Schizosaccharomyces pombe: one gene and its partners. Changing the gene in region 2 together with the main gene of any one other region gives a genetic interaction. Each region holds a gene or a part of one and is shown on either strand. Other genes may lie near its edges. The genes, in order: dbl8, SPOM_SPAC4H3.06 and SPOM_SPAC1B3.08.

Region 1 (10,453 bases), on a different chromosome or scaffold from region 2:
TGGTTTAAACGGAGGCCCGGTTGTTCTTTGCGTAGTTCAGGCAAACGAGATTGTTTGTATTCTGTCAAAGCTGCTTTAAACCGACGTTCAGGATGACGATCAATTTTATCTTTGGACGATGAATTGTTTAAACTTAACAAATCCAAAGCATCATCAATATTGCGGGCACTATATGAAGCTGTCTGAGGGGTTTCGTTGAGGAAAGCGTCTAAAGATGAATTCTTCTTTGCAGCCTTCTTTGACCCCTTTCCTCCTTTAGATGGAAGACTCTCCATTTCTTCTTTTTCTAAACGTTCACGTTCAGCTTTCCTCTCCAACGCAGCTTTTCGTTTTTCAGCTTCTTGCTCCTTTTTATTAGTTTTGACGCCCTTGGACCATTTTTCGTCTTCTTCAGCGTCTTTTTTTTTCTTTTCCTCGTCTTGTTTTCTAGATTTTGCCGCTTCGGCCTTTTCTGCTCTCTTTTTTGGATTCCCCATATCAAGGCTATTAATGGTATGTGAGATTTGAATGACTTGAACAACAGGTGATTTCTATATGCCGCCTCGTTATAAGAAAGGCGACGAAGGATGGATTAATAATCTGATCTGATAATTTTTATAAGTGAATGTCTCGTTATATCTCCCTATTTTTATCAGTGTATTTACAAAGGTGTATTGATAACACTGAACAAACGGCGTCAAACGTTGGTATGTAACTGAATTTTTATCACTAAAATAGAAAATAAAAGTTCTTAATTGGAAATCTGCTACTATTTATTTCCTTAAATGCCTTGATGCAGGCTAAGGGTATATTGAATGGTATAGACACTGCATAATACACCATAAATCCTTTTTATGACATGATGGCATTCTTAACAGTGATAACTCATTAAAAAGAGAAACAAAGTCAACCGATGTAAATTGATCATACTCTTCAATTACAATATTATATCATGACAATTGTTATGGACTTCGATGTGTATTTCATGAAGTTTGAAAAAGTAAAATATATCATCAAATTAAATGCTTATTCTTGCCAAATTATTCAACAATATCGTACAGTGAACAATTGCTTTCAAGTATTGATTAGTTTATTGTAATCTATATAAGTATTAAACTTCATCTTCGATACAAATAACGTACAAACTAACATTCCGATCATCTTAATTGTTAAAGGAATTAATGAATCTATAATTCTAAATTATTTTTTTTAGCACTTAAATTTACTCATCCTATTATTTACATTTACAGTATACGGTTTCTTAACGAGTATACGCTATTATTATGCCGAAACATGAATGCATATCAATTTTGGTTCTACCAGCACTGTTCCTCTATTTTGAAGGGTTTATAAGTTAAAGTCAAGTAAGCATTACCTCTGATTATTATTTCATTTTATATCAAGTTCTTAATCAACGTTCTTATTTTTTTAATTCGTGTCTCTATATTTTGACAATTACTTGAAAACTTGTCATACGACAAAGGTAAAGAAGGAATTGCTAGCATTTATAGCTTTAAAACGATGTATATTTTCTATTAGGGATATATTGTTATATTTTTGACTCTCAACGAATACTTCGTACTCGGTTCCTTCGATTGCTGTTTATCCTATCTGATATAAATTTGAAAATTTGAATTAGACCCTATGCTAACATATTCTTAGTTACATGTATATATAGAATTTTTTTTCGTTTAATTTTATTTTTGAAAATTAAACTTTTTGATCACCTTTCGTAAAAGTTCCTTTCGATGAGCTTTCTGAATTCTTGGAGAGCTGTTAAATATACAAATAAGCCTAAGGAAGAAGACATCAAACTCCCAAATTCTGCATCAAATCTTCCAACTACTGTACAAGCATGTGTGATACAGTTTATCTCTTCTCTAGTTAGTCCGGTTCACCCTCAATTGCTTTCGCCTGAAGAACTAGCAAAAGCATTTCAAAACTTTTACAAGCATACCGATGAGTTTATTGCTTCAACCCTTATCCCTCAACCCTCTTCAAAAGATCAAAATGTGCCTCTTTTGTTTCCTGAGGAAATAGATGCTCAGAAAAAGGCGAGACAACACTTGCTGAACCAAAAAGATGAATGGATGGACCAAATTGAAGATATAGTTTGCGAATATTTGTATGATCGGTATGTGATTACTTCGCCTACAATAACTGTTTACTAATATTGTGTTAGGATTTTCTGTTTATCTACAAGTACGGATGCTGCCAAAGATGACTTGTTAAAAAAATTTATTGCTTCTGAAGAAAAGAAAGAACTTATCAATTGCATTCCAATACCTGATGATGAAAAACTTACAAACCGGTTACATGAAGTCTCTGAAGCATTTTTTGCTCTCGATGAGCAACACACACCTAGATCGAAAATAAACACTTTTATGACCGTTAATTCAAGTATATTGAATGCCTCTCAACTTCCTCAAGAAGAATTGAATGCTGATTCTTTATTAAATTTGACCATATATTGCATTCTCTGTTATCCCGGATTTCATTTAATATCGCACCTGAATTTTGTGTTACGCTTTCGAAATGCAGATTTTTTAAGCGGAGAGCAAAGATACTGTCTCACAACTTTTGAGGCAGCCCTTACTTTTATTCTTCGAGCTTGTCCAAATCTTTTAACTCAATCGTCAATTCAACCCTCTGATGATCCTCTTTCACTTGAGGTAGCTAATAGCGAAACAGTTTCGACCTCTAACTCGCTTCATGATCCGAGTGCAGAACCCTACCCTGTGAATCGCTCATCTTTATCTAATTTAAGAAATCTGGGACTAGCACTTGAGAAATCTTATGCCTCTCTACTTAGTAAAGTAGCCAATCACACTGCCAAAAGTTCAGAAGATTCTTCCAATTCTGTAGAATTCGTGGGCGACCCACCTTTGGAACGCTTTTTGACTGTTTCTGATGCTAGCGATCTTAAAATCGGTGAAATTGAACTTCTTCTTTCTGACTATAAGCGCCTCGCACGTTTGCTTTTTGAGAAAAATGGTAATCAGTAATTTTGACTGAATATTTTCTTTAAAAATTTCACATCCAGTTGGTTTTCGGCTTTGTTTATGGTTATTTGATTCATTTGAGAGACAAAGTCATATAGAAAAGTTATATGATTGATCAATATTTTTTTTTTCTTTGTTGCAGGTCAATTCGTGAACAGCTTAAAAGTTTAAAAGAAAATTTTTATTCAAAACAAGGATTGATTATTCCTTGACGTCTATTTTATTAATGTATGAATATCACAAAGAACTAGCAAAAATGATTTAAGCTTGTATGTTGACGCAAAGATTGCATGCGAATTAAATCCTTACAAAGGAAATATATGAAACGAATATATCATGTTACTGCAAAATTTTTAAATATACTGAATAAAATGAACTGTGATTCTTTGCTCAGTGAAGAAAATAGTCATATTTGAAACTAGGAATTAAACACACAATCACAAACTTCGGATTATAATGGGTAAGAAAGTTTTTTAAGTTGTCACATTATATATAGTAATGTTTAAAATATATTTCGGATAATCATATATATCTTAATTACAATAAAGAAGCGTGATTTTGGTACATGAATTTATATACACTTTCAAAATATACGTTCATTTTTTTATTTAAAATTTCTCTTAAGGCTATTTTATTTCAATGCGATAATCGAGTGCTGTGTGGACATCAAATGATTGGTTGCACTAAATGTTTATAGTGAATAGTGTAATTTACTTCCTTAGAAACCTAGATTTTGAAAAATTGCAGTCGCGCTTTAATAAGTCTACTTCGAGAGTGAGAATGCAGCATTAGCTTGTGGTTATGGAAAATGACGAGGCTTTTGATAGATTAATAAGAAAAATTCAGGAAAATCAAAAACACCCATCTTTCGAAGGGTCCAATAAAGTTTTGCATTTGGCGCTTTCATACCTAAATACTAACAGACAAAACCCTCATTGGGTTTGTGATCCTAAATTACAAGTAGCAGTTCGTGAATGTCTTTTTCTATTTTCTTTTCAAAATGATAACGAGTATCTGGTATGGTTCAAAAAACATTTGAACGAACGCCTTCAGTTATGCCCCAAATGTATAGTTAAATATCACCAATCTTTAGATGATTTCAAAAGTCTATGTTTAAACATTTTTCACTTTGACCCAAATACTCTTGAGATTGTAATGGAGAAAATTTATAGTTGGGACATTTTTCGGTTACAGGAAGTTCTCAAAACAGTGCCTAAAATCGACACGTCCTCGGCCTCTAAACCTATACTATGCGCCTTCTACGAAATCTTATACTCTCCTCGTATTTTACATAATAAAGAAATCTTTCCCTTGTTCCGAAACAGATTTCTTGAGTCCGGTTTTCTTCGGCTCTCGAAAAACCTAGTGCCAGGTGTCATAAGTCTTCTCTTCTCGAGAGATGATGAGCTCCGAAGATGGGCTTGCAGTATTTTAAGTGATGTAAAAACAATCTCCGATAATGAATTTAAAATCCTTGAGGGTCCCCTTCTTCAGGAAATTCGTTCTTTAGACCAGAAGAAAGAAAATGAGAACGAGATGCAAATTTTTCTGAAAGGTTTATCGTTGCTGTTAAAGCATGTTGATCATCTTTATTTTAGGGGACTTACAGGAAAAAATTTCAATGTCGCCGATTTTATTCTTTCGGGATTGCAAAGCGACCATACTAATTTATGTCCGTCTTTCCTTGTATGTTTACATTCTTTGTTATACTGCTATGGACGTAATTTTTGGACGCCAGAAATTTCTCCCAGTGAAGTAATAGATAAAATTTTTAATGGTAATGCTTATAAGAGGTGGACAGAAGAAAATACATCCAATTTTTCAAACGACCAAAAGGCAGAGAATCCGTTTGAATGGGCTACCTCTCTTTTGAAGACAATTTCAATCATTGATGAAGTTGAATTAATTAACAAAATTTTGATTAATTACACCATGCAATATAAAAAGGAACTGGAAGTCGGTTTCAAAAATGTTCAGTTACTTCAATCACTTGCTGACATATTTTCAGTTTTGTTTTCCGAATATTTTATGATTTTCCCCCATAGTGATCAAAGTTTACAAAACAAAGTATTTGAATTACATTCCACTTTAGCGATTAAGTTTGACGAGCTGTTTCGTTTGCTAAACTTGGAAAATGAAGAGTCTGTTGAATGGAGGCTTATTAAGAAAGTTTTTGAATACCGATTGAATTTAGATCTTTATATTTTGAAGCAATTCTATTGCCATTATTTGGACAGAAATAGAAAGCCACCCTTGAATATCAAATCGGTAAGTGAGTCTTTTAAAAATTTTTGGGTATATTTGCAAAACGTATTTCGAGAGGAGAAGTTCTTTATGGTTCGTATTGTTTTTCGTGCTTGCTCTACAGTTTGCTTGATTGATAAGTTGCCGCCTAAGAAAGTTGACATTCCGTTCAAAAGTGATTTCGAAAATGCACTAAACGGATTTGTTGCAACATTTTCTGAAATGCTTATTCAGACTCAATGTTGGCATTTGTCGGCACAAACCCAATTGGTTTCAAATCCTTTAACTTTTCGTGGAATCTTTTCACTCGTTTTTTCTCCAATTCTTGAGATCTCAACAGGAAGTATCTCAATTATTAAATCTATTTCGCTTTCTGACAGCGTTGTTGATACTATAGGAGAGCTATTGAGAAGCCAGTTTTCAAATACACTAAATTCTTCATGTTATGTTCTTCTGCAGTGGCTTAAAGTCAGAAACTTTGGAGGAGCCAAGCACATTGTTTATTTTAATAAATTAATTATAAACACTATTTTTGACTCTGTTGATGGCTTAACTTCTAAGGATGCGACTTTTGCAAAACAAGTGGAAAAGAAAGAATCCCTTAAGAATTTCTGGGAATCGTTATGGAAATTCTTTACTCATTTTTTCATTGTTCTTCCTACTTGGCCAGTTCATGATAAGGACAATTTAGTTGATTTAATGCGGGATACCCTTGATTTTTGCGATATGCTCATTAATATTTTTGAGGAAGTTAACGGATTCATTTTTGGATTATCGGATAACGATATTAAAATTGTTTCGGCTAATGATAAGGGCAGTGCTTTAGCTATGTGTATAGCTGATTCTTTGGTTACTGTATCTTATTGGCTTAAGTTAACTGATTCTTCACTTCTAACATCCGTTGTGAAAGTGATTTGTAAAATGCTTAAAATTTGTAAAAAGTTGGAGTGTCCAATTAGTCAAAATGTGATTGATATTATCCATAGGGCATCAATTACCAGTGATGAACAAACAATTCTTACATTCACTGAGAGAGAGGATCTTTTTATATCGCTCACACCATACCTTTCAGAAGACGTTCTTAATCACTCTCCTTTCAATGATACCAATACGCTTGAAACTAAGTTACAGAGTGATGATCGGGGTTTGCTTTCTAAAGACCAGACTATTGGGATTGCGAAAAAATTACCTGAGTCAAACATTAGTACTTCAAATCATTTTTTGCTTCCTCCGAAGGCTATTTCTGCTTCTAAAGCCATCAATAGAAATGCTCAAAAATCTCAAAATTTAAATTTTTTGAAATCTAAACAAGAGACAACACAGCGAATTCGCGAATCCGCGAAAGTTCCAAGAACCAGTGCGGGGAACCATCTTTCTGAGAAACTTAATTCGGATAATCATATACCAAAAGCTTTGCAAAAGCTCGATTCTGCTGACCCAATTCGCAAGCCTTCACTTTTGCACACTTCTAAAAGTTATTCTAATCCAGATGACAAAAATACTTCAACTTCCGATGAAGATACCTCGGAGTCCGAAGAAGAGTCTAGTAACGGTCTATTCTCGCTTGCACGTGAAGCTAATTCTCATGCCTCTAAATCTCTTCCACAAAGAAGGCAGATTCAGTTCTTGGACTTTGATTCCCTTAAAACAAAAAATGTAGTTCATCCTACTCAATTGCGCCGTAATACTCAACAAAGTGCACAACTTGCTCGACTCCGGCTAAACCCTGATGTTCAAGAGTTTTACAAAGTAATTTTGGGTTGGAACCCATTAGCTGATTCTTTTTCGGCGTCTAATGTTGAGATGCAGTGCGTCCAAGCTAAATTCACGTATAATGATTCAAACGCTTATGAGAAAGTTTTCAAACCAATGTTGTTTCATGAATGTTGGGCTCAAGTGAAAAGTGCCGTTGAAGAAAAGCAATACCCTCCCATAGATTTAATCCTCAACACCCGCAGTACAGTTGATAACTTTGTCGATATTTACTTTACGTCCTGTTCACCTACCGAAGTCTCTTTTTTAAGTGATACAGATATTTGCTTACTGTCAAAATCACAAAGTTCGGGCGATACTAATAACCCAAAATCTTTTCAGTTGTGCAAAATTCAATCCATTTCTCGTAAAAAAGAATCACTTGAACTCTGTCTGCGGATGAATATTGAATCAATTGATCTACAGGAGTATGCACCGAACATTAGGTTCACAGCACAAAAATTATTTAATGCTACTACTAGCTTACGTGAATTTGCTGCTTTAAAATCTCTTCGCCATTTACCATTGTCTCAGAGAATTCTGGATGCCAATGTAACGCGTCTACCTTCAAATTTTACAGATGACAAAAAGCAAAAAATAATGAAGTCTTATGGTGTAAATGAACCCCAGGCATATGCGATTTATGCATCTTCTGTAAATGATGGTTTTACGCTCATTCAAGGGCCTCCTGGAACTGGAAAAACTAAAACCATTCTAGGCATGATTGGAGCTGTACTTACTTCTTCTAGTCAAGGGTTGCAATTTAATGTCCCAGGACAGACGCGAAAAACCTCAAAGAATAAGATTTTAATATGCGCTCCTAGTAATGCAGCCATAGATGAAATTCTCCTTCGTATCAAAGCCGGTGTTTACGATCATGAGGGTATCAAATTTTTTCCAAAAGTTATTCGTGTTGGATTTGGTGACTCCATAAGCGTTCACGCTAAAGAATTTACTTTGGAAGAGCAAATGATAAAGCAAATGGAACTTACGAACCTAAAGAAAGATCAAGAAGCAAACAATTCCAGTGATACTCGGAAAAAATATGACTCAATTATTAAAAAAAGGGACTCTTTACGCGAAGATCTAGAAAAGTTTCGTAGTACTGGAAAAAATAGTTCAATATTGGAAGCACAGCTTCGTGAGATTACCAAACAGAAAAACATGCTTGAACAGAGCCTTGATGATATGAGAGAACGTCAACGCTCAACTAATCGTAATCTGGATGTTTTGAAAAAACAAATACAAAATCAACTACTTCAGGAAGCTGATATTGTATGTGCTACCTTATCTGCGAGTGGTCATGAACTACTTTTAAATGCGGGTTTGACTTTTCGAACTGTCATAATTGATGAAGCTGCACAAGCCGTTGAATTAAGTTCAATCATACCTCTTAAGTATGGCTGTGAGAGCTGTGTAATGGTTGGTGATCCGAATCAGCTTCCTCCTACTGTGCTATCAAAAACCTCTGCAAAGTTTGGATATTCACAATCTCTATATGTCAGAATGTTCAAACAGCATAATGAGAGCGCTTGTCTTCTTAGCATACAGTATAGAATGAATCCTGAAATTAGCCGATTTCCCAGCAAGTTTTTCTATAATTCAAAACTACTTGACGGTCCCAATATGTCAGCAGTGACATCTCGACCTTGGCACGAGGATCCGCAGCTAGGTATTTATCGATTTTTTAATGTTCACGGGACGGAAGCTTTTTCCAACTCAAAGTCTCTGTACAATGTGGAAGAGGCTTCGTTTATTTTATTATTATATGAGAGGCTAATTCAATGTTATCTAAACATTGATTTTGAGGGGAAAATTGGAGTTGTTACCCCTTATAGAAGTCAAGTACAACAGCTTCGATCACAATTTCAAAGAAAGTATGGTTCCATTATATTCAAGCATCTTGATATTCATACCGTCGATGGGTTTCAGGGACAGGAAAAGGACATTATAATTTTTTCTTGCGTTAGGAGTTCGATGAGCGGTGGAATCGGTTTCCTTCAAGATCTTCGTCGGCTTAATGTAGCTTTAACAAGAGCTAAATCATCTTTGTATATCGTAGGCAATTCTAAACCGCTAATGCAAGAGGATATTTTTTATAGCTTGATTGAAGACGCAAAAACTCGTGGTGTTTGGAGAGACTTGAGTGCTAATCAATTTAAGAACTCAAAAAGTATATCAAACGTTTCGACACACCTCGCATCTAACAATTTAAATTTAGCCTCACGGGATACCCCAATTAAGTCGCCGTCGGTTGGTATCTGTGAGGAAAAACAAGAAGCACATAAAGTCAAAAAACGGCACAATATAGATAGTGCTAATTTGTCAAGAGGAACTGAGAGAGATGAAGATATACCGAATAAGCGCGCTAAGAACAAAGTTTCCACTGATCAGACTGCTGCTGATAATAAGGTCACGAAACCACGCCTTGATGAATCATCCAGTTCCAAGCAAGATGTGTTAAACAAAATAGACGAATCTGAAATTGAACAAGCGTCTTCCAAAAAGCCGGGTTATGTGGAAAAAAATAAAGATAAAGGCCATATGAAAAAATCAAAAAAGCCCAAATCGAAACTTGCTCTGGCGGCGATGGCCCACGGTTTTGCACCTCCAAAAGTTGAGCATTTCAAAAGGAAGTAGCCGATTTAGGTTTTAGTATGAGTATTTTACAGTATTACTTTTTTAATAACACGAGTAGCGGGACGTTTTCAATCATTTGAATCTTAGACATAGTTTATTTATTAATATTTCTCCTATCTAAAAATGATTTTGCTTACAACAACACTATATTAATTTTTACTCAATGGTATATATAAACAGGACAAATGCACCAGTATATTCTATATGTTTGTGTTAGGATTATATCAAACTTGTATTAGCTCATACTCACAATTTCATTATTAATTAGCTTCCAAAATATGCTATAAATTAGCATATTATCAGTGCATGTTCAATTGAGTTCTACAAAATACATTGAATCTATAGATGGAGATACATGGCAAAAACTTTTTAGAGACATTAAAAGAATTGGAGAAACACGTAGATTCAGCACACTATGTTTCCATTGATTGTGAATTTTCCGGATTATTAAGAGACTTCAACCTTAACAACAAAAATACTTTACAAGACAGATATGAGTTACTGAGAAAAAGTAGTATACGATACACAATTTTACAAATTGGTATAACCTTTATTTATTTGCAAAACAATGGAAAATCTTCGTGTATTCCCGTAAATATTAACGTAAGTCCTCTAGTTAAAGATGAATTGCACCTTAAGAGAGACTTCTGCTCGGAGGCTAGCAGTATTAAGTTTCTGATACAACAAGGTTTTGATTTTAATAAACAACTGACAGAGGGTGTACCATACTTATCACGGATTGAAGAAAGAAATTTGATCGACAAGGTTAATGAAAGATCAACTGACGACTTGACCAGCTCAATTTTAGATGCTTGCGATGAAGAAATTCTTGTTGA
Region 2 (7,145 bases):
CATTTCACAGGACAAAAGCAGGCCTAAGAAGGGGCTCAAAAGTAATCACATCTCTTCCTTAAAGCCTCATTACCGATTGTTTGAAACTAACAATAAAGAATCTTACTGGATCGCAAGGTTCGTATGGCTTCATTGCATGAAAGTTTACTAACGATTCTTTAGAGAAATTAAACGTATAGTAGGTTCTTGTCCAGAGCTTATATTTTATAACGATATCGCAATCCTTGTAAGGTCCTCCAGCCTTACAAGAAGTTTAGAACATGCACTTTCCGAACTTGGTGTGCCCTACCGCATGGTTGGAGTTAACAAGTTTTTTGATAGAGAAGAGATTCGAGACTTAATAGCTTACTTGAGAGTCCTAGCTAACAAAGATTCGACTTCTTTAATTCGTGTCATCAATGTCCCTCCTAGAAATATTGGCAAAACAAAAATCGACCGTATTATTTTCGAAAGTGAAAGAAGAGGATTGACCTTTTGGCAAACTTTAAATGAAGTAAAGAATGAAAATATTTTACTTTCTCAAAGAAATGACAAGAGTTTTCTAAAGTCTTTAAAGTCTTTTCTTTGTTCAATCTCCAAACTTGAAAATCGTTACTTGTCTAATGGGCACTCAGCAACTCTTAGTGATTTACTTTTGGGAATACTTTCTGAGATTAAATATTACGAATACCTGGTTCGGAAAAATAAAGAAACTGTCGAAGAAAAATGGGAAAATGTAATGGAGCTTGTACAACAAAGCGATAACATATCTTGTATATTCTATGAATTAGATTACAAAATATCAACAATTGTTCTATTGCAGAATTTTTTGACTCAAATCGCTCTTGTGAATGAAGAACAGAAAGAGGGCGAATCTCAGAAGGTTACCATTTCAACCCTTCACGCAGCTAAGGGTTTAGAGTGGCCTGTTGTATTTTTACCTTGTCTTTGTGAAAATATTATCCCTCATTCTCGTTCAGACGACCTCGACGAGGAAAGAAGGCTGCTATATGTCGGTGCCACACGTGCACAGGCGCTACTGTATCTATCTTCCTTTAAAAGCGTCACTGGAATGTTTGCAGATATGCAGAACTCAGACAATGTACAGGACGTCAGTCCATTTTTAAAAGGAGAAGAAATGAAAAGATGGGTGATGGAAAGTGAAATAGTTTTTAATGAAAAGATTGCTTCTGAAATTGGAACCATATTGGGTCGGAAATCTTATGGGAAAATAACTAATTTAAGCGGTATTGGTTCAAATGCAAATCATAACGGAACTAAATTCGAAAACTTGGGCTTCCAATGCTGTCGTGTTCTAGCTGAGGCAGAATTGAAAAAGAGAGAACGAGTCAAAAGTGTCAATGACTATAATAAAGATGAAACAAATTTTAGAAAACATAATGCCAAGAGATCGAAAACCGATATACGAAGTTGGTTTGAGAAAAAACAACCAATCGATTCAGATGTAGAGATTTCTGAGCCGTCAAGGTCCGCAAGCATAATGGTTGCAAATAAAGATTTAAATGATCGAAGTTTTGAAACTGTCAATCGTATTGTATCGACAAGAGCCTCAACGACAAACGCTTCTTTCATGAGCAGCGTCAGACAAAATCTTGGTAGAGGTCCTTCTACGAAAGATCAGGTAATAAATAGAACGTTGAGGGAAGGTCACCAAGATGTTGTGCAACATACTGACCTTAATCAATCAAATACTAAGGTCGCGAGTGCCCGTCCTGCTGGTTCGAGAAAACGATTGGGTGTAAGGCTACGAGTTTCACGAATGTTATAGTCATATCATGTTGTACAAAATCACGTATTATATTTATAGACAATCTAAACACCTTGCTACGGTGTTTTCTTTAAAATACCTACATATAATGTCAGCTTGAAAATAGATACAGATAATAAACTTACATTAGAGTACTACAGTTTCGACAAATATTTCGTTGGCAGCGATCACATGTAGAAAGATATAATACGTTATCACAAAATTCGCAAACACCGGTAGATGAAGGCAGATGGTCATTGTCAGTAACAAAATTAACCTTTTCATTTAAAACGATAGAAGAGGCATCATGGGCATTACTTTTTTTGCTTGCAAACAAACTAAGAAAAGATCTCACTTAGAAGCTTAGTAAAAAATCGCTAAATTCTTCACTTACTATCCAAATGATTTTTACACTTCTTTCTTGGTAACCTACTAGGAACATGTTCAGAACGACATCTTTTCATAGCTAAATCTCGGATACTTCGAGTTTCAAAAAAATGTGACACGTTGTTCTACCCTCTTAAAGCCTTATCGAGGTGTTGTTTTGTTTTTGTGGAACGCGGACTAGATGGCTAGTGCATGGTCTAATGGACTGTACAGGAATGGTCAAATAGGCGATACTTCTTGTCAAAATATAGCACTAAATGCATTTTTGAACCCTGTATATATTCGAAAAAAATACAAATCGTCCTTATTAATACATTTCGTAAGTCAAAATGAAATTGCTGAAATGAATGTGTTAAGGTAAAGCAAATATAGCTAGATTAAGGCTCATTTAAACTTAAATTGAGTAATATTTTCTTAATGTTTTTACATTTATCAGTAAGTGCTCCTTCGAAATGCCTTGTCCAGCTCATTGAAATTCATGGGTCATACCTTCAAAGGCTGAAGTATGAAATCAGGAAGGATTCACTGAAATAAAGAAGTCTTTCTGATGTCTGATTTGAGTATACGATAAACAAATGTGAATGTGCAGATATGAACAGTATAAACCATAGAAAGCCATGTCAAAGCCGAGGAGATACAGATGTTCTACATAGATTTGCAGACAATCCTCCTAGATATTCTATGAGAAAGGAGAGGAAACCTTGGTTTTGCAGCTTCTATATGGAAAGTACAGAGGGGTTGTCTTGCTTAACCAAAGTAAGAAAGAGGCAATCAGAGAAGATAGCCTACAGAAAATTATAATTCTCAATCAATTTATTTAAGGTAAAAACCTCTTATACTTCTGATTCTTTTAGTGCTGCTATTTAATCTGTAATTATACATTATGTCTCCATGTTTGACCAGACTGAACAATTCACAATTTAGTAGGATCTCAAATGTTATTCGGGAAATAGTTGATGGTATTGAACTATAGGATATTAATAAAGTTGTCACGTGTAGACGTATATTAACTTGTCAAAGATTGTTTGAACATTGTGAATAGCAAAATGGATTAGTTATTACAGTAGGCTTTTCAGTAGGTACACACGACGTAGACATATGTTTTAATAGATATTTTCCATCAAAAAGAATTAGGTCTATTAACACGCTCTTTTCTAATAGACCTCTTAAATGTCATTCACTTGAAGTTTGTACTTGTAAATCAAAACATTGGAAACCTGATAAATTGGACAGTTAATTAATTAATTATTCAATCCTTTTCATTATAGAAAACGTTTTTTCTGAATCTTTTTTGCTATAGTATACGCTGTGTTAGAATATGATTCAATTACTTAATAACGACTATATTTTGTAACAATAACTATAAATAATAAGAGTCATATTACTATAAGTATGTTATGTCGAAGGAAAATTACAAACAGTTTTACTTGATTGCAAAGGTGGACTATATATCTGAGACAATTAACTCTTAATGTATCATTTACCAGATATGGAGGAAACTGTAAATAAAATATTGCGAGCTCAAGAAACGAGAGCTCAGTTATACAAAGAACTGGAGGAGTAAGTATTTTCAAAGATATATAAATAAAATAGGTCTAACAAAGGTAGTGCTCTCAATGCAAATCAAGAGAAAAAAATTGGACTTGAGCAAATGGGCATAATTGTTCAACTGGTGACTGAAGGTTTAAATGAAGTTTCTTCTGATATTCGAAACTATCAAGCATCTCTTACTAAGGAGCTTAAACTATTGGTGGATTCTTTACAGGAAAAAGAGCGCTCTAAGCTACAAGCGGTAAATTTTTTTTCATAAATCTTTCTATGCAAGTTACTTACAATGTATAATATTTGCAGACCGTCAAACTTGAGCAGTTAAAAGTTGTTTCTACTAATTCACCAGTTGAGAATACGCAAATTTCAGAATTGGAAGCTAGGTAAATTGAAAATTGAATTATCCAGATATAACTAACAAATAATTATTAGACTTTCTTCACTTTCTAAAGAAATCAACGATATCTTACAAAATATGAAGGATGAAATATGAAGAAAATTGGTTTAATTACTATGGCATATCCAAGTTTTCTCTTTAGCAAGAGTAACATTATGAAGTATGATTCTGAATTTTCTTAAATTTAGAGAAAGTAAAAATTCTACATTAGAAATTTAGGGGACAGTCAGTTCAAAGGTCTCCTTTCTAATCATACTTGTAATTGAGATTGTAACATTCAGTGCAAAAGAAAAAAATGTTATTCGCGTTTTGAGCAAACCGGCAAGGTATGAATAGTATTCTTCAAGCCTTTAAATGTCAAAAACCCATCAATTTTAATTCCACCTGGTTGTTCGAAAACTAATTTCTTAGAGTTATCTTTAACACGTGCTTGAACTGTATTCCCTAGTTTAATTGAATTTGGAGGTGTTCTTTCTAAACCCGGAATTAACTACAATGACTGTCTCAAAATATATTTTCCCATATTAATAGCTTCCAATGTATTTACAGCTTTACCCTTTCGTCGAAGTCTTTGACAATAGAAATGCGAAGGAATAAATCGCTTGAGTAAGTAACTTATCATAGTTCAATTCACCTTATTGTTACATTGCAGTAAAATTGTTTTTGTTTTCTAAGTACACCTTACTTATCATCTAAAAATGGTGAGCAAGCATACGATGCATGCATTCAACTCTAGAAACTTAAACTACATATAAAACTAAAAGGTAACGTAATGGGTGAGAAGGCTGGAAAGCGTTCGAGTCTACCCTCACTTAGACTTAATTTTGTCGGACCACTCAAGCCATGAGCCAGTGTAGTTTCCAATACTAAAAGGTTAGTTTTTGAACACTGTTCTCGAAATTAAGTGGAATTGTTCACCTATACAAACATACTTTTTATAGCCGAGTTTGGTGAGAATGTCAGAAGCGGTCGTACTTCTTCTACCAGAGCGACAGTAAACTACAACGTTGTCCTCAAAAACGGGTTTGCTGAATCCATAAGTCTTGGAAAACTCCTCGTCACTAAGTTTCATGGCTTCCTCGATTTTTCCAACAGGTAAATTATAAGAAGTTTCGATTGCACCTTGCTTAAATTCATCGGGCTCACGAACGTCTGACATGTTAGCAGAATAAGTTTTAACTCACTATTGTATTGTCCTTACCAATTAAAACGGTGGATTTGTCGCCAGTTGGTCTTTTACTAAGGTTATAAACCTATTTCAAGTTAGTACCGTTAATAATTCCAAAATACTTGGAGAGTAGAGTAGCGAAGTGTAAAACTTAGCTTTAACCAGAAAACATCGCATATGAAAGCAAACGTATTCCTATGTTGGTTTACCTTTTCGAAATCAAAGATGCTGACATTCTTAACTACTGTAGAACTGTAGAAAGAGCGGGTCATCAGGAGGCGAGATACGGAAAGAGTTTTAGAAAACATTATGGGTGAAAACAAGGTTTATTACAGCTAGATGGCCCCTTTCAGCAGGCAGGTTAAATCTCAGATTCCCACAGTTGACGGTAGTGGTATAAGCGTGATCGGTGAGTAGTATGATTATATGAACGATCGCTATTACGAAATCGGCAGGTTTGAAGTGTTATAGGGGCTTGTGTTCAGAGGAATCAATAAATGAAATGGATCTTTGTATTTTCGAGATTTTTCAATAATATTTTTCTTTTTTAAAACGGTAGTTTTTAAAGTTACTATTCAAGAAAAGAGCGATTCATCCATCGGGAAAAATGAAGTTGCCGCATTTTCTATGTTTCACTTTTAAACAATTACATATTCAGTATATAAGTTCATAGAATAGAACTGTACGTACGTCTTTGGCACAGTTCTTTAAAATTGCGGATCTTTAATTGTGTATATTACTATATGGAGGTAGCATATGGATTTACCAAAAAGCATTTTATGGATAATTTGTTATTCATAAAATTATGTTTGTTGGAAATACACTGACAGAAACAAGCACTCTAATTTTCAATTGAGCTACAGTTGTTTGTTTTATCATTAGGAGAAAACAGGAATTCATACGACGCTGATTTATATAGATGTATACGTAAGTTTATTTATTTATTTTTTCTCGTCGGGCCTGAAATGCACTGTACTGTAATGTCATGGCATGCTTCAATGCTAATGTAATAGGAAAAAAATCACAGTACACAAATTTTTATGAGTGCTGATATTCTCGCAATGGAGAAACGCTAGGTTTAACGTAAGCATGATGTTTAAATTTGCCAGTACAATTAGAAAACAGGTTGTAAGTCCACCTTTGATATTAGGTCACAGTTCAAATCACTTTTGATTGTATTGCACATGATATTACGTTTACTAAGATTTCGCATCAATTTTAATATTGCAAGTTCTAAGGTAGCAGCATATTATTGAAAATTGAAATTTCAAATGGAAAAGTGATTCACATGCGTCCATTAAAATATAAAAAATAAAAAAAGAAATTTATATCTAGAATAAATTATTGTTTCTTTTAGCGGCAGAAAAACTAGTAGTAAAAATTTTATGCCAATAAATAAATATATAAAATAATGAACCTAAATAATCATATTGGCAATGTTTTCCAATTCAATCATCCGAAATGAATGATTGCAATGGATGAAGGAAAATAAAAACTTGTAAAAATGAAGGTCAGTAAGATTCAGTGTTTAAGATACCTCTCTGGTTTACAATCTTTTATGGACAAATATATGAACGGTTAATTCGATACAGTTCATCTGTTTCACTCGAATACTCAATATAATTTATTTACAATTCACCCATTAAATTAATATTTACCTTATTCATTCGCTTTCATTAATTTCATTCATTCACTTAGTCCCTTATTGTACCAACCTTGTCGCTCGGTACCGAATACAACAGTCGGCGGTTGATCATAGCTAACTAGTGCTAATAGCTAATTTCCTTAAGCAGACTTTTAATCCAACTGTGAATACCAATTACGTACTGTTTTGATTTAGTTAATATTTTCTTCCTCTTTTTTTTTTGCGCTTTTTTTCCATCGAAATCAAATATTAT
Region 3 (6,371 bases), 1.1 Mb from region 2:
TAGGCTCTCCGTTAAATCATCCATGCTTACAATCAATTCCGACAACAAAGGATGTAGCTGGTCTTTGGCAATAAAGTTAAGTCTAATGGCATCTAGAGTAGTAATGAAATTTTGTACCAAACCGGCAATTGATTTCGCAATGGAAGCAGATGGGTTGGATGGAGCCTTTGTTGGATTAACAGTTTGTGGAGTAGTATCATTCATAGCAATTGAAGGTTCTGCAGTTGTAGATATTGCATTGGAAAAGGTGGAATTGGACTGAGATCTTTCGTCCGATATCCCCTCTTGAATTCTCTTGATTGCTCTTGGGCATTGCAGTCGATACTTTGAACAGAAGTCTTCAAATGAGCCAAAAGCCTGAGTAACTCTTTCGTCACTAAAGCAAGACTCCCATTGTTGTATCAAAAGTTCACAGGTAGAATTGAAATCAGAAGTAGACACGGCGTCTTTCGTAAAAGCTTTCTCCAATTGCTCTAATGCCACCAAAATACTGTAAAGAATACTTAAATCTTCACGTACCTGTTGATTTTTAGTATGAAAATTGTTTTCTTCTGAAGTTTCCTTTTCTAAAAGGTTCAGATCGTAGTATTCAGTCATAGCATTAATAAACTGAAGAAACAGATGTCTAATTGTCCTTCAATCTTTCAAAGTTATAAACTAGCTTCGAATATATAATTAATTAATTACAATTGGGAAAAAATCAATTATAAATCAATGTAATGAATGACTTATTACATTGGAATAAATTGAGAGCTAGATGTTTCACACTGTCGCACAGTCGTCCATCGTTCTCATTTTGAAAACACATAATGCATCAAATATTGCACTTCTCTATCCAACAATTAGCCAAGTTAACGTACTGGTGCAAATCGCTATTAAATGTCAGCAATACTACACTACGCTATAATACACTACGTTGAGTATCACTATATGTCACATGTTCTAATTATATATCGTACCATGTATGATACGATATGGAGATTGATCTTAATGATAATCTATTAAGATCAATATTATCTGAATACTATAAATAGAGCTACTGCTGAACCTCGTTCCTCAGTTCAGTTATGAGCTATATTAGTGATAGGTAACATTATAACCCAGTTAATACAATACCTATACTCAGTTGCTACTTATACAACCTGTGTATTGTAATATAATAGATCACAAGGAAAACTCACCGCAGTTCTACGTATCCTTAAATCAGATACCAAACTGCGTAGCTTACATTAAAGTTGTCTCTAAGAATTTCGCAACAATGTGATATTTGTATATCGTTGCTTAACGCAGCCATTGAACAAATGTGATCGCATTGACATAATTATTAGTTTCCCTTTACAAAGCACATTTCAGTACGACTAGGTTGCTTTTCTGAACCATTATATTATGAACCAGGGTAATCAAGCTTTTGAAAATGCAAGAAAACCATTTCGCAGGGCTAATTTGATTACGGCCCTAGGTCTTGGCGCGTTTGCCTTCGCGACCTTTGCATATTCGGTCTACCGAGTTCACGAAGATACTTTTGAAGACGTAGTAATGACTCCTGAATTGGAAAAAAAAATTGCGGAGGATCGAGATCTCTCAAAAAAGAATTGAAAGTGTTCATCTTGATTCACCCATTTTTGGCTTTTGCTAGTACAAGTGACATCGTTACCTCTCGTGGGCAGCGTTCAAGAGCGCGCACACGACGGTGTCGTTGGTATTGAGACAGAGCACACTGGCGAAAACACAAACGGTGCTTGTGGACCCTTTAAAGCCCGATTTTTACATCTTCCCTTTCCCTTCCTTTTTTTTGGTACCGACCTGCTTAAAGGGCGCTTCTGATTTATGACAACTATGAGTGAGAGGCCTTTACCTTTAAACGTTTATTTCTCAACCATTAATTCAGCTGTTGCGCGATCTAATAGTGTCCTACTAGCGAAAAATTTATCAATTCCTTGGGGGAAAACGCTAACCTCAGTGCTGAACTTTGATATTCCTGGAACATATTCGTCTGACGATGTTTTGAAACTTACTGTAGAAAGATCAATTTCAAAAAACTGGACAGACATTGTACTTTTGCATTTACAAGTTTTGCTGTACTTAGTTCGTGACCATGATCCTGCAGCCGCCTTTAAACAACAGACTGAACTCGCACAGCATCTATATCGTGAATTCTCATCCGGCAGATGTACCGGTGTTCATTTACCAGTATTGTTTATAGTATGTAAGGATCTACGATTTTTGGCTATCAATGCACATAATGCAATGCTTCGCCGCAAACAGCAGTTGAAAGTAATTTCGGTTGATGAGTCGGAAGAAAATGAACAACTTGAAGCAACCGCTAGGCTGATTAATCGTGCATTTACCATCTGTATCAATGATCGAGCTCCTCTGTCGACGTCACGTAAATGGGGAGCTTATTATATTATGGGTTTGTTGTTTAAACTTTACTTAAGACTAGATTGTGTGCATTTGACCAACAATGTTCTGCGTGCCATGAAAGTTGTGGAACTTCCTGACATTTCCCTTTTCCCTAAGTCTCACGTCGTAATTTTTCATTATTACCTTGGAATTGTTGCCTTTTTAAACCAAAATTACAAAAATGCCTCAGCTGAGCTAGAGATTGCCTTTTCCTTATGTCACAAAGGTTACAATCGCAACTTGGAATTAATTCTTTCGTATTGGATTCCAACTCGCATTTTAGTAAATCATCAGCTACCCACAAAAAATTTACTCTCTAAATTTCCCAATCTGGCTTCTGTCTATATTCCTTTGACTAGAGCACTAAAATCCGGTAATTTAGGTGAATTTGGAAAATGTTTGCAAAAAAACGAAACCTTGCTTGCAAAAACCAAAATTTACCTCACCCTAGAGGGCACAAGAGATTTGTGTATTCGAAATCTTTTTCGTAAGACTTGGATCATCTGTGGGAAATCTACTCGTTTACCTGTTTCTGTATTTCAGATAGCCCTTCAAGTTGCCGGTACTGATTTACCCAAACTGCATGTAGAAGCTATTTTGGCCAATATGATTAGCAAAGGATACATGAGAGGATATATATCTCGTAACTTCGAAACTGTGGTTTTGTCCGCCAAGGATCCGTTTCCCAAAAATGTCTCTACCTAGTTATGTCCATTATGAAAAATACGTTAAGATTTGTCGATGCGGCAAAAAATTTAAAACTACAGCGTTTACGCTATTTTTAAACTCTATTACTAATCTTATGAATGATTAGAACGTTTATTAATTTAATTAATTCGTCCGTTTTTGATCTCTATAGTAAGTTAACTGAAAATCATGTAGATATACAATGCTTATTTATATCCTTAATCTCCACCAGACAAAAGTGTTTACTTTTTTCGTTTGTACAATAAAAATTTTTTTAAAGTCAATTTAAAGAACCTTCTTAGGTAGTATCACTGACTAGTTTACCCATTGGAGTAGACCTCCAATCCAAGTCCTTCTCGAAAGCTTCTACTTGAGATGTGTCATTGAGAGTAAAATCTACGTTCATCCTTCTGCTTTCAACAAAAGAAAAAGTGCTTTCAAGTTTGTTCAAGAATGTTAAAACATGCTTCCCCGGTGCGGATTCATTTACCAGTCCACGAAGTTGTGCGATTATGGGAGCAGAGAGCTCTGGAAAGGCAATTGAATTGGAAAATATGGCAAAATATTCAGTCATTAGCAAAATGACTTCTTTTCTGACATTGTTACGATAAGATTTTGACAACAAACATTCTTTAGGCACATGAAGAGTAGAATACATGTCAAAGTTATACATTACTTCCTTATCATCAGACAAAGGACTCGATCTCCTAAGAACAAATGGGATCATTTCTAAAAACTGAGAAGACAGGGGGATGTAAAGGCGGGTAGATCTGCAAATATTAACAAGTGACTTTAAAAGATGGAGACGTAATGGGTAATATTGCTCCGTAGGAATTAAACGAATGCAATCCAGCGTCAGGTTTATGGCGATTGGAGAAATTTCTTTGGAGATTGATTCATAATCATTCCATAAAAATGATATAACATGTAACCAAAATCTCAGCGAAAGCGTAAATTGCCAATTGTATATTAATTTGTATGCATCACTGCTTTCAGACTCCTTCAAGCAGCGCTTCAAATGAGCATCCAATTGGGAGAGATAAGCGAAGGCAATTTTTTGATAAAACCGTGAGTTAAGAGAAAGAAGTTCAATCAAGAACAGTTGAAGCTCTTCAAGGGTATCGAAATCGTTAACTTCACTGGGAGAAGACTTAAAAAAGTCCAACAAAGGCGAGTAAAATACTTGAAAAACTGCCACACTCAACGACGAATCAATTTTGCAAATATGATTAACTGCTTTTTGAATATCTTCCCGAGCTTTAGAATGATTAACAAAAATATTACATAGCTGTGTAACCAGACCATTGGGAAATTTAGAAAATTTTTTTATGTGAAGTATAGTATCAAGGGCCGAAGACAAATTTTGATATCCCTTTTTCTCAAAATTAAATTTTGTTAATAAAATCTCGGCATACTCTAAACGAAGGTCCTGAAGAATCTTTGACCTAGCGTCAAAATCCACGTTGTCCAAAGTCTCCTTTAAGTCCTTTTCAACATTTTTCCACAACGCATCTGCTTGATTGGTCCCCGATAATTTCTGACAATATGCAATAGCAGCAAGTAAATCCTTTTCACTCCGTCTTTTTTGAGTAGAAACTTGATTTAAAGAAGCGCCCTTGGAGTTTACATTAAGAACCGAAATATCTTCTGATCCGTCTTTCTCATGCGATGTATTAGAGGTCGTTACATCTGAATATAGTTTAGAAAGATCTTCTTTGTTTTTATTGTTATCATTTGTTCCACTTTCCAGTTTATTTTTTGTATGTGAATTTCGATTTTTTGTGCCGTAAACTTTTTTTGAACGAGCTAACTGCTTTCTCCGCTCGATAGTATTTTTTAGGTGGTTTTTAGTAAACTTTTTTGTAGCCTTGGAAGCTTTACCCATTTCCCCGAGAAAACAAAAACACCAGTTCAATTGCAGATGAACGTAGTAGTAAATTCACTTCGCTGTAAATGTGTGAGAAATTCAGGTTGAGTAACACGGGTAACAGTGCAAGGATTTCTCAAAAATTAGCAGCTTTTATGGTATTTGAAAAGTGAATTGGAATATTTTGACTGTAGGATTAAAAATATGTGCTCCTTCAAGCAGCTGATCATGCATATAACGATAGCTATATTGGCACTTGTGAAGCATATTCATGCGATTTAGATAAAAAATACTTACCGTAAACGAAGTAGTTTCAGTAATTTAATATAAAGTTGGTGAATATTGATCCAAAAAATGGCAACTTTTAAAGGGAAGTAAGAGTTTTGGTTAGAAGATAGCTCATCCAGCAATCGTCTAGCAATATAAATATCTTGATCTCGTCCTATTCCGTATTCGTGCATATATGCCATGTTCCAAAGGCCCATACCGATTGAGCTTTGCTCATAAGCAATTTTGTAACATGTATATGCTTTAGAGTAGTCTTTAGGGGTGCCAATTCCATAGTAGTAATAATCACCCAGTTTAAAAATGGCATCAATATCACCCTGAGCGGCAGCACGAGAGTAAAACTCATACGCAAATTTATCATGAGCAGCCTCCTGCTCAGATTGGGTATAGTTAAAGTAGCGGAATACTGAGTTAATTAGAAACTTATTCTCATCCATCAAATATGCTGCATTAATTTCAGCTAGGGCATATCCCATTTGAGCGGCATATAAGTAATAGACGAAAGAATTATGAAAATATCCATATTCGTCTATTTCTTCTAAAGCTATAGCCATCGAGGTTGCAGAAGCTCGTATTGCTTCCACAAACTTTTTATAGTATAAAGAGGCACTTATCATTGATCGACTAGTTCCAGTTCCATTATAATAACAATCAGCTAAATATTTGTAAGAGATGACACTTTTTTGAGTAGCAGCTCTTAAAAAGAGGTGATACGCCTCTTCATAACGCGCTTCTTCAAGACGAATGAGGCCAAGAAACATAAGTGCATGGGGATTTTCATTCATTACAGCTAAATTTATTAGTCTCATTCCTTTTTCTCGATCAACGCCGTTGGAAGTTAAACCGTGATAAGCCATGTAACCTAAACCGTAATAAGAATTGGAATCGTTTTTCGTTGCACCTCTTTTAAACCACCAGTATGCTTTGTCTATATCGAATAAAGGACCTTTATCAAATAGATGTAAAAGTCCTAAATATCCACAAGATTGAGCGGCCAAGGAAATTATGCTCTGTGGAGTGTTAGCTAACACACTATTTTCTGAAGTGTATGGCCAGTATTGTCTTGAAACCTTGCGAAATAATACATCGGAAACAGTGTAATTCCTTGGATACTTATACATCCCGT

Evidence for each region.
Region 1: mutations in SPOM_SPAC4H3.06 (region 2) and dbl8 together harm fitness more than expected from each alone (negative genetic interaction), as found in Schizosaccharomyces pombe (one large-scale study listed by BioGRID).
Region 3: mutations in SPOM_SPAC4H3.06 (region 2) and SPOM_SPAC1B3.08 together harm fitness less than expected from each alone (positive genetic interaction), as found in Schizosaccharomyces pombe (one large-scale study listed by BioGRID).

Annotation. Positions count from the first base shown.
Region 1 is NC_003423.3:2,556,457-2,566,909, reverse strand, and holds dbl8 (ATP-dependent RNA helicase Dbl8), read left to right. Parts: upstream 1-3,740; 5' UTR 3,741-3,782; coding exon 3,783-9,617; 3' UTR 9,618-9,760; downstream 9,761-10,453. Other genes in the region: oxidative stress transcription coactivator/ribosome recycling protein Oxs1, read right to left, coding at 1-476; guanyl-nucleotide exchange factor Muk1, read left to right, coding at 1,728-2,113, 2,162-2,984; tri1 (CAF1 family ribonuclease), read left to right, coding at 9,963-10,453.
Region 2 is NC_003424.3:3,833,826-3,840,970, forward strand, and holds SPOM_SPAC4H3.06 (uncharacterized protein), read left to right. Parts: upstream 1-3,609; 5' UTR 3,610-3,623; coding exon 3,624-3,694; exon of another isoform or gene 3,695-3,742; coding exon 3,743-3,926; intron 3,927-3,985; coding exon 3,986-4,065; intron 4,066-4,114; coding exon 4,115-4,175; 3' UTR 4,176-4,887; coding exon of another isoform or gene 4,888-4,945; 3' UTR 4,946-5,011; coding exon of another isoform or gene 5,012-5,231; 3' UTR 5,232-5,280; coding exon of another isoform or gene 5,281-5,332; 3' UTR 5,333-5,456; coding exon of another isoform or gene 5,457-5,555; 3' UTR 5,556-5,801; downstream 5,802-7,145. Other genes in the region: srs2 (UvrD subfamily ATP-dependent DNA helicase), read left to right, coding at 1-117, 163-1,768; SPOM_SPAC4H3.16 (uncharacterized protein), read right to left, coding at 1,802-1,847, 1,894-2,101, 2,142-2,211; thiosulfate sulfurtransferase Rdl2, read right to left, coding at 4,888-4,945, 5,012-5,231, 5,281-5,332, 5,457-5,555.
Region 3 is NC_003424.3:4,940,840-4,947,210, forward strand, and holds SPOM_SPAC1B3.08 (hypothetical protein), read left to right. Parts: upstream 1-1,704; 5' UTR 1,705-1,836; coding exon 1,837-3,108; 3' UTR 3,109-3,388; downstream 3,389-6,371. Other genes in the region: ESCRT I complex subunit Vps28, read right to left, coding at 1-597; Cytochrome c oxidase assembly factor Coa3, read left to right, coding at 1,387-1,596; noc202 (Noc2-Noc3 complex subunit), read right to left, coding at 3,389-4,975; protein Hrd302, read right to left, coding at 5,251-6,371.